3 linked regions of the Callithrix jacchus genome follow. The protein of the gene in region 2 interacts with the protein of the main gene of each other region in a pairwise test. Links are inferred from orthologs where the notes say so. Each region holds a gene or a part of one and is shown on either strand. Other genes may lie near its edges.

The links.
Region 1: the proteins of MKRN3 (region 2) and SFN interact in binary tests that used the Homo sapiens proteins (3 or more experiments, as listed by UniProt). The two-hybrid records come from large-scale screens. The link is inferred for Callithrix jacchus from reciprocal best matches to the Homo sapiens genes MKRN3 and SFN.
Region 3: the proteins of MKRN3 (region 2) and BEX2 interact in binary tests that used the Homo sapiens proteins (3 or more experiments, as listed by UniProt). The two-hybrid records come from large-scale screens. The link is inferred for Callithrix jacchus from reciprocal best matches to the Homo sapiens genes MKRN3 and BEX2.

What each region holds. Positions count from the first base shown.
Region 1 is NC_133508.1:63,512,147-63,515,092, reverse strand, and holds SFN (14-3-3 protein sigma), read right to left. Parts: upstream 1,956-2,946; 5' UTR 1,893-1,955; coding exon 1,146-1,892; 3' UTR 643-1,145; downstream 1-642. UniProt on the Homo sapiens protein: Adapter protein implicated in the regulation of a large spectrum of both general and specialized signaling pathways. Binds to a large number of partners, usually by recognition of a phosphoserine or phosphothreonine motif.
Region 2 is NC_133507.1:5,632,393-5,636,145, forward strand, and holds MKRN3 (E3 ubiquitin-protein ligase makorin-3), read right to left. Parts: upstream 2,592-3,753; 5' UTR 2,482-2,591; coding exon 958-2,481; 3' UTR 217-957; downstream 1-216. UniProt on the Homo sapiens protein: E3 ubiquitin ligase catalyzing the covalent attachment of ubiquitin moieties onto substrate proteins.
Region 3 is NC_133524.1:99,382,638-99,385,722, forward strand, and holds BEX2 (protein BEX2), read right to left. Parts: upstream 2,144-3,085; 5' UTR 2,014-2,143; intron 1,597-2,013; 5' UTR 1,511-1,596; intron 1,147-1,510; 5' UTR 1,142-1,146; coding exon 755-1,141; 3' UTR 511-754; downstream 1-510. UniProt on the Homo sapiens protein: Regulator of mitochondrial apoptosis and G1 cell cycle in breast cancer.

The sequences.
Region 1 (2,946 bases), on a different chromosome or scaffold from region 2:
GGGACAGAGCAAGGCGTTCGCAGGTTCTGGCGTGTTGCTGGTTGCCGAGAGCGGAGGCGGCGAGCTCGGCAGGCAGTGCTCCCCGCAGCCCTTCTCACCCAGGTTGTCCTTCCTCCCCGCCAGTCGGTTTCCTTTTGTCTGCATCTCCGAACTCTGTGGGACACGACTCTCTCCTGAGATCTGGGGTTTTAGGGTTGCGCTATACCTCTGCCTCACTCAGATGGTATTCCCCTCCGCTGAGATCGGAGCCCGTGATGAGACTGTGACCTGCTTGCAAATCGGGTGCTCAGTGCCGCTCGCTACTGCGGCGCTGTCCTTAGATCTCACGCCGGAGACTTCACTGTTTCCTGCCCCGCCCCACCTGAGCTCGTCAACCTCGCGGCTCCCACTCACCTCCCCTCAGCCCGGCAGAGGAGCCTTGGCGCCTCCTGTGGGTTCACCGGCCCCTTCCGGGCCCGTCCAGTGTGGGGCCTCCCTGAAGGACAGAGCTGGACCCCGGCCTCACCTGGACTCAAAGTCTTGCGTGCGGGTCACTGAGCACCCAGGGAGGTCAGGGTCCTAACTCAGGTCCAAGTTCAGGGTCTCTAAATCAGATTCCAGTCCCACTCCCAGCCCATCGCCAAGAACTGGAAGAGACAGGAGGAGTGTTACAGGGGAACTTTATTGAGAGGAAACATGATCACACCCAGCCGACATGCTTTCCCTCAATCTCGATCTTGCACTGGCAAGCGCACGCACACACACACACACACACACACACACACACACACAATCTCTAGCCCCTACCACTGTGCAGTTCTCAGGCACAAGGCGGGACACTTACTCCTCAATTCCTAACATCAGGCAGCAGGGGCAGGAGGGAGGCAAGATCGGGGAGAAGTAGCCTGGTCGTGGGGTCGGCAGGAAGCGGGTGCAGAGAGCAGGGGTGGGGCATGACCAGTGATTAGGTGTGCTCAACAGCTGCGAGAAGAGTGGGATCCCCAGCCCCAGGTGGCCTCGGCTCTGCCAGTCCCTTTCCATGGAACCTTTTGGAGCAAGAACAGCGCCTGGGGGAGAAGGGTGGGGCCTCTCACCCCATACTAGTCCTCTTGGCAGGGTGGGGTACTGGAGGGGGCAGGGCAGGGCCGGCTGGTGGCGGGCAACACTCAGCTCTGGGGCTCCTGGGGCGCCTCGCCCCCCTCTTCCCCGGCGTTGTCAGCCGTCCACAGGGTCAGGTTGTCTCGCAGCAGCTGCATGATGAGGGTGCTGTCTTTGTAGGAGTCCTCGCTGAGGGTGTGCAGATCAGCCATGGCCTCGTCGAAGGTGGTCTTGGCCAGCGAGATGGCCTCCTCGGGGCTGTTGGCGATCTCGTAGTGGAAGACGGAAAAGTTCAGGGCCAGGCCCAGGCGGATGGGGTTGGTGGGCGGCATCTCCTTCTTGCTGATGTCCATGGCCTCCTGGTAGGCTGACCGGGCCGAGTCAATGATGCGCTTCTTGTCGTCACCGGTGGCCACCTCAGCCAGGTAGCGGTAGTAGTCGCCCTTCATCTTCAGGTAGAAGACCCGGCTCTCGGCGTCCCCAGACTCCTGGATGAGGTGTCTGTCCAGCAGGCCCAGCACAGTGTCGCACACGCCCCGGAGCTCAGTCTCCACCTTCTCTCGGTACTCATGCACCTCGGGGCCCTTCTCCTCCGAGCCCTCCTCATTGCTTTTCTGCTCAATGCTGGACAGGACCCTCCAGGCAGCCCTCTGGCCACCCACCACGTTCTTGTAGGCCACAGAGAGCAGGTTTCGCTCTTCGCAGGAGAGCTCCTCGCCCTTCTCCACGGCGCCCTTCATGAAGGCTGCCATGTCCTCATAGCGTTCGGCCTGCTCTGCCAGCTTGGCCTTCTGGATCAGACTGGCTCTCTCCATGGCTCTGGGAACAGACAGGAGGGCGGCGGGTAACTGCTGCCTGGGACCAATCCCGGACTCTGTGCCTCTCCTGCTTTCGGCCTGCCTTTTGGCTGGGTGGCCAGGCCCTGAGAAGGGTGGGGAGGAGCAGGGGGCAGGACCAGGGCCCAAGACCTGCCTCCCTCTCCTCTCCTCCCCACACCCTTTCCGGCTCTGCATGAAAGGTAAAAGGGTTGGGATGTGGGAGTGAGTCATCAGGACAGTCAGCAGGAGAAATCTGGGCGTTGGCCCCACCTGCACAGGTGCCTTTCTGGGCTCCACGCTGCCCCCTCTTGTTCAGGACTGGCATTACATGACTGCCCACATCAGGAAGCTGCCTGGCTTCTCATATCAGATCCTCTTTCACAGTGCCCTTCCAGGGGCTAAGGATGGCTTTAGCCCCTGGCTGCTTCAGCCTTGATAGAGCTCATAAAGGTTCAGGAGGATGGGGTTCCTAATCCGGAGAGGTAACTTCCCCCGCTTGGTTCAGGGGAGAATAATTCATGTATAGGTAGGGCTATACAGTTTCTCAAGCACTTTTATATTCATGATCAACTTTAATCCCCTCCATGTCTCTGTGACATACACAGGACCATAGAGATGGGTACACTAAGTTTCAGAGAGGGGTGAGATTTGCTCAAAGTCACATAGCCACCAATTCCCTGAAACTCTTTTCTGCACCCTACCTCCTTTAGATTTTCTCCCATGAGGCCTCTGACCTATGAGCTCCAGGCTGTGTTTGGAAATGAGATCCAGGCTGCTTCCTCAGTCTACCTGAAGACAGTTCCATCCCCCAGATGGGTCCCCTCTGAGCTCCCAGAATGCACAGGTGGCAGCTTTCGGAGTGCCACTTAATAAAGTGTTTAACAAGCAGCCTCTGACGCTCCAGCCCAGCCTTTGTAATTAGTCACCCAGTAGGTTTGTTGAACACATTTCCCATCACTACACAATTTTCCCTTTCAAGTTGGTGGCCTGTTGCCACTTGTTTGAGGACTTACCCTCTGGCCCTCCATGCCAGGTCACCTGCCCTCTCCAA
Region 2 (3,753 bases):
AAACTGCATAGGAACACCATTTAAATATTTATGGAGTGAGCTATGAATGCCATTGTAAGAATTACCAACATCATGCTTTGTAAGTCCTCTAAGATGTGCATCTGTTACATCTGGCCAGACCCACTTGAACAGTCCTTTTCATTACATGTTAATTACTGGCTTCTGTGCCTGGGACAGAAAGATTATTCAGACAACTCACATTCACACAACAGCCAATCCTGTTAGGCTTTGACCTTCAGCTTTTGGGTCTGTATTTACTTTATTACATAAACATAAATATTATATTGTGATGTATATTCTTTTATATATTTTTCAAATACATAACTTATACATATATATGCATATATATTATATATATATCATTCTTAAATATAAATTTCCAAATATAAATTATTTCGCGTCAAGCTAAACAGGATAAAAACATGTAAACATATACACTTGGTTTTGGTCAAGTAAAACACAAAGTCACAAGTTCATCATAGTTTAACAAGTGCACTTGAAAGGGAAGAAGGGAAAGAACAGACTGTAAACAAACAGATGAGCAGCTGCAAGGCCCTGCAAGGGTCCATTTGTTAAGGCTATTATAGCAGAAAGCTACTAGTTCAATTAAAACTTCTCCTTTCACTCTGCCATATTTACTCTTGAGAGTCTTCAAAATACGTGTGGAAATTCAGTAAACACTAAACTAGAACTGAGTTAATCCTGTTGAAAACAGAGATGACGAAAAAGCCATAAGCTGACATTAATATTAATTTCACCAAAATAGTAACTTTATGGACTTACTTTTTAACACAGATAATCACCATAGTCCTAGGAGAAAAGATACTCAGAATAGACAAGAAAACAGAAACACTGCCTCAACAGCCCCTGAAAGCAATAGGAGTGTCAACATAGGGAAAACAGGCATTAGAAGATGACAGAACCTCAGGAGACTAGACCACATGCCACAGCACGATGCTACAGATTCAAATTGAAATATTCTTCCAGCTCATAATGAAGCAAGTCCCACTGCTCCTCAGAGAAGGGGAACTCATCTCTCAGTGAAAGAAACTGCTTAAACAACAGACTGGCCAGCCGAAGCACGACAAGCTCCTTCTTACTGCTTTTATAGAGCGCGTTGCCCTCTCCCATTCGCACAGGCTCCACAAGTTGATGCCAGTATGCACTGAATGACCCACCACCCGGCCCAGGAGGCTCATCTCCCCAGCCCTCAGGGTATTCATGCTTGTAAAAGCATGTGTCTCCAAATGGGCAGTTACCCCTGCCTTCCGCAAAATACCTGCAGGCCTTGTTGCTCATTGCCTCTTTGTATTGCTGAATAAGTTTCTGCTTCTCTTCCTCCTCCTCCACCCAGAACTCACTGGGAATGACCAAGTCGGAGGTGACCCTGCACTGTGGACAAGACTTGATGATCCTGTTATCAAACTGTCTGGCACTTCTCCACCTGCGGATACACCTAATACAGAAGGTATGGTTGCAATTGGAAAGAATGCCAAATCGGCGGTCATTGGGGTTGGCTTTCTCATAGACAACCTCCATGCAGATGCCACACACCTTGTCCATACCACGCTGCACAGCAAACGAGAGTTCCATATCTTTCTCGTGTGCTTCAATGCAGGCCCTTATATGGTCTTCCCTTTGGGCAGCATCCATGGGGTGCAAGGCCTGCAGCCCACACATGTCGCATATGTCTCCATGGAGGTACATACAGCTCTCCCCACGAAAGCAAACTCCCCTGGAAGCATAATAGCAAAACCGCTCACCCCTGCCCACAGCCATCTGCTTCCTCTCAGTCTCTGAGCTCTGTAGAGGAGCCTCAGGAGCAGATGCAACCCGGCGGCCCCGGTAGGGCTGCCCTGGAACAAACTCAATGGCATCCGCCCAGCTTTCTACACCTGCTTCTCCAGCAGCTCCACGGTCTGCATTGTCTCTCTCGGCTTCAAAGAAACCCCTTTCAGCAGCCGAGCCAATCACAGGCAAGGACTGCGAGGATGCAGCCGGGGGGGCTTCCGCCACTTCCTGAGTCGGGGGCTCGATGTGCGCAGCCGTGCTAGGGCCTCCACTTGCAGAGGCCCCAGACGGCGAAACGCGGCCCTCGGTGGCCATCTTCCGACAAGAAAGGTCGTGGGAATAGCGACAGTTCTCCCCCTCCTTGCACTGCCCATGTATATAATACCTGCAGGCGATCTGCTTTGTCCAAATGCCACTGCTTCGGCTTGGCAAGGGGCTGGGCCAGGCTCCTCCTCCGGAGGCTGGGGCAGGCCTCAGGCCTCCCGTGCGGAGGTGGGCAGGGACTGGAGCTACAGGGAAGGGGGCCCAGCCCACGGCCACATGTGGCAGTGCTGAATCTGGAGCAGCAGATTCCCCGGAGGGCTCACACGCGGGAAGGTCGGGCCCAGACACACCCTCCCCTGCTGCCTCAGCACCTGCCTGGGCCCCGGCTGCCTCGTGGGCTTCTGAGGGAGCTGCAGGCTCTTCCATGGCAGCTTCTTCACCCCGAAATGGTGCCAGAACGTCTCCGGTATTTTTTCTTTAAGGGCTTGAGGCCCGGAGCCGCGGCCACGATCGAGACTTCTCTGGGGGAAGTGTGCACCTCTTTTCCTTCCCCCCTGCTCTTGGCTCCCTGTGACTCTGTGTTCCTACCTACTTCCGGGCACAGGCAGCATGGCGGACACTTCCTGTCGGGGCAACCTACGTGCGCTGCCTGATTTTTGCGGCAATTTTCCAATCTGACATCTCATCTGACATCTTTTTTGTTCACGCAGGCAGGGACCGACCCGGCCCCTTTTGTCTGCCTTCCGCCTCTTGTTTCGCTGTGTTTCGGCAGCCCCTAATTCCCTCCTCACACCATTTCCTCAAGAGAATGAGGTTTTCATGTAATCTCTTCTAGTTTCAGTCATGCACGCTTTCATTGTATTTCCGCGTCTGTCTGCCTTAAATTATAGCTCTGTAGATTCTGAAACATTTCATACGTGAGTTATATAAATTCCTTTTGGATTCATTCCGTCTCACGTCTGTGGGTTTTTTCTTTTAATGCCCTGCCTGTCACTGCGGGAAACTTTTTTCGATTTGTTCTATTGACAAGGCGTCGTTTCGTTTGGTCTTTGTTTTCTGGGATTTCTGAGGGCTTACGTTGGATCCGCTTTTCACCAGCAAGTCATTAGCAGAGAGCACGTCTGATCCGAGGCGAAGTGAGCACCTTTCAGATGTCTGTCTTTATTGTGATTACTATGGTCATTTTCCCACTGTGAAGAAGCCTGGGACTTCAACCAGTCCTGATGCTGGCTTAATAAGGCACTGTCCCCTGCATGACCCAGGCTTTTGTTTTCTCTGCTGGTATATTCATGGCAGCCCTTTGTTTCCCTTCCTTTCTTTCAGCCCCATCTGTGCTGTGTTGTGGCAGGACAGCCTTTTATAACATATCCTGTGCCATATTATCCACAAGAGAATGGTTTTTAATTTCCATGTATGAGCGTTTTGTCATTTTTGCAGATACATGTTAGTACATTAATCATTTTTGTATCCCTGCTTTGCTGAGAGTACTTATTATGACTGCATACTGAATTCAGTCATGAGTTTTATAGATTTTTTTGAGATAATCTTGCTTTTCCCTTTATTCTCTTAATGTGATTATTTGCAGCTACGAATTTCAAATATTTAACCAATTCGTTTCAATAATAAGCCCTCTGTTTCGTGATATATCATATATTATTGGATTTTTTTTCTGAGGAAATTTTGCTGCTTACATTTATA
Region 3 (3,085 bases), on a different chromosome or scaffold from region 2:
TACCTACTCCTAAGCCTACTGGACTTGTAAGCATAGGGAAGACCTCACCTCGGAAATGTCCTCTAATAACGGAAGGAAATATCTAAAGGGTTGGGTCATGCATGTCACTAAGAGCAAGAACTTGGGAGAAAGTTCACAACCTTATTCTCTCATCTGGTCAATACAGCAACCCTGGGAGGTTGCTTGTCTTCATCTTACTGATAAATATTATGATCTTCAGAGAGATGTGTCACTTACATTTCTAAAAAGAGATCCCAGGGGTAAGCTCAAATTGAGATTCTGTCATAAATGTTTAATAAGTGTACACATTGCTTTTATAAGGTGGTCATATATAAGTAATAGAGTTCCATTTTGAAAAATAAGAAATGATGGATAAGCAAGAATAAAATTCCCTTTTAATTCTACCACAGAGATAAACATTATTTACTATATATGTGTGTGTATATATGTATATATACATGACTGTTTATGTTCATATTTAAGATTTAAAGTAAAAAAGAATGCAGAGAATGCTTTTTAAAACTGCTTTATTAACTTCACAATATATAATGAGCATCTTTCCATGCAGTAGGTAAAACTCGCCTGCTGACAGAAACTTACAAACTGGGTCAGAAACAACATTCAGTTAGAAGCTGGTATCAGGAGACCCACAAGAAATAAGTAACATCAAAAGGTTTGCAACAAAGGTACACCACAAATATGTAAGTTTAGGAAGCAGGGGTCTTCCTATAAACTTCAGGGAAATCATCAGGATTCAGGGCATAAGGCAAAACTCATCGTGATGGTCATGGTGAGGGGGGTCAGTGCTGACAGCCCGCAGACTATGACTCAACTGCTTTTCCCTCAACTTTTCCATCAGCTGTCTCACCTCCTCCCCAAGCCTTTCCATATTCTCCTCTCTCATCCTTGCCTGTGGTTCTCCAAGCCTATGCATCATGTCCCATCTATACTGCAGGATGGGCTGCCTAACGCGGAACCGCCTACGATTTCCTCTGGGCACATAGTATTCACCAGCATCCAAAGGGAGGGCCAAGGGCTCCCCTTTATTAGCAACTTGCTTCTTTTCATCTTTTTCTTCATTTTCCTCTTTGACATTTTCCACGTTGAGATTGTTTAACGCTAGTTCCTCTTTGGACTCCATTACTCCTAGGAGACAAGAGAGAAAAAAAGAGACTCAATTCTTGGTGAACCGATCAGCACCGAGGACAGAGACCCTACTATACACCTTTCAAAATTCAGAGCCCTGGACTTCAAAGGCCATTTTAAAATTTCATTTTTTTTTCCACCAGAGAGACCCAGTGTGCCCTCGCGGGGAGACAATCCTAGCCCCTCTCTCTTGCAAAGCCCACCATCTTCCCTGCAGATCCATCTCCAGGCCTCTGCAGGCACCAAAATGGAGGACGAGGATGGGGTGGGGGAGGGGAAGGATTGCGAAGTGTTGAGTGAAGGCATGGATTGGGGTCTCAGACTGGGCTTTCCTCACGTTCCGACCCCCGCCCCACCACCGTACCTCGCACCGACCTGGGCCTATCCTTGCGATCTCCTCCTCCCGATTCTCGACTCGAGGCGCGCCGCCGGACACTTAGTCCCTCAGACCTGCAGAAGAGCAGGGGGCAGGGAGTGGGGGCTGCTGGAGCGGAACGCTAGCGATGACAAGCTGTCACCCAGCCCCTTCCCCGTCCCGAGCCCGGGCCCTCCTCGCCGCCCTCGCCCCCCGCCTCAGCAGCCCCTCCCCCCAAGATGACCACCATTTTCTGCACCAAGAAGGGCGGGGCAGGGGTGTCGGAAAAGCTTGCGCAGGTGGCGGAGGCAGGTGTTTCCGAAGGGTCGTAGCCTCAGGACCGCCGGCTCTCGCGAGGCCGGGCACCTCTCGGCTCAAGGAAGGCGGTGGGGCCCGGGGTCTGCTTCATGGTGGACCGCCTGCGTCACCGCGCGGCTACCCGGGGGTGGGTCATCCTCAGGCCGGGGCCGCTCCCCAACACCAACCCCAGGGATCTCCTCCAGGTCCCTTACCTGCTTCCCCTCCGCTTCCTACTTTCGGGGTCGCCCCCGGCCCGCACGTTCTCAGGGCCACCTGGAGCAGGTACCGCTGCCGAGAAGGGAGCGAGCGACGGCGGCTCTGACACCAGAGCGAGACAGACTCACTTGGCAGGTCACGTGGGGCGGTTGTCATCGCCAGCGGCTCCGCCCCCGTCCCACGCCCCCTCCTGCAGCCCCGAGTCAGGCGGGGCTTTCGGGCCAGCCCCCATTCACACCGGGAGTCCCTTTGAACATCCCCGGCCTGAGCTTTGCCACTCTCCTTTCTTTGTGTGTTCTTCGGACTTCCTCTGCCTGCCCAGGGAGGAACATATCATCTCAGGGAGATGTTAGCCGTTCCCACTCTGGGGACTTGCCTCTCTCTGTCCTTGGCTCCCAGGATTCACCTCCTTCTGTCCTCTCTCCTACCAATACTCTGATTTCCCTCCACTAAAACTAGTGGAAGAGGTATATCAGAAAAGGAGCCCAAAAGAGTAGACTTTTCTCATTCTTAATACCTTTCTGTGTTCTTTCATATGAAACAAAAAATATATACGTCTTAAAAGAGGAAAAAATGTTATTTTTAATTGAAAAACGGGATTAAAGTTGGGGAAAACATCCTAACCACCTGTCCTGTTAAATCATTATACAAATATAGACACTACCGACAGCTGCTTTTTTAGAACTTGGAAAAGGACAGGGCAGCTGATGACTCCCCTTTTGAGGGGCCCCTGGACATATGAGGCCCTTCTATGAGATGAACTAGTGAGTTGTAGTGCTACAGAGCTTTGTTGGGTTTTCAGAACTAAAAGAAAAAAAAAGACCTTTTTCACAAATTTCTGGTTCAAATGATAATAAGTATGTCTTTATTTGCATGTCAATAATCATGAATTCAGGAAATCCGAAGAGATCTACAGTTAATCTACTATAGGAGTAAGAATTGATTTTAAGAAGGTTGCAGATACAAGATAAGTATTACAAACTTACTCATAAATTCATTTGGAAATGCAAAGGACCTAAAACAGACAAATACTTTTTAAAAAATATCCTAGGCCAGGCGTGGTGGCCC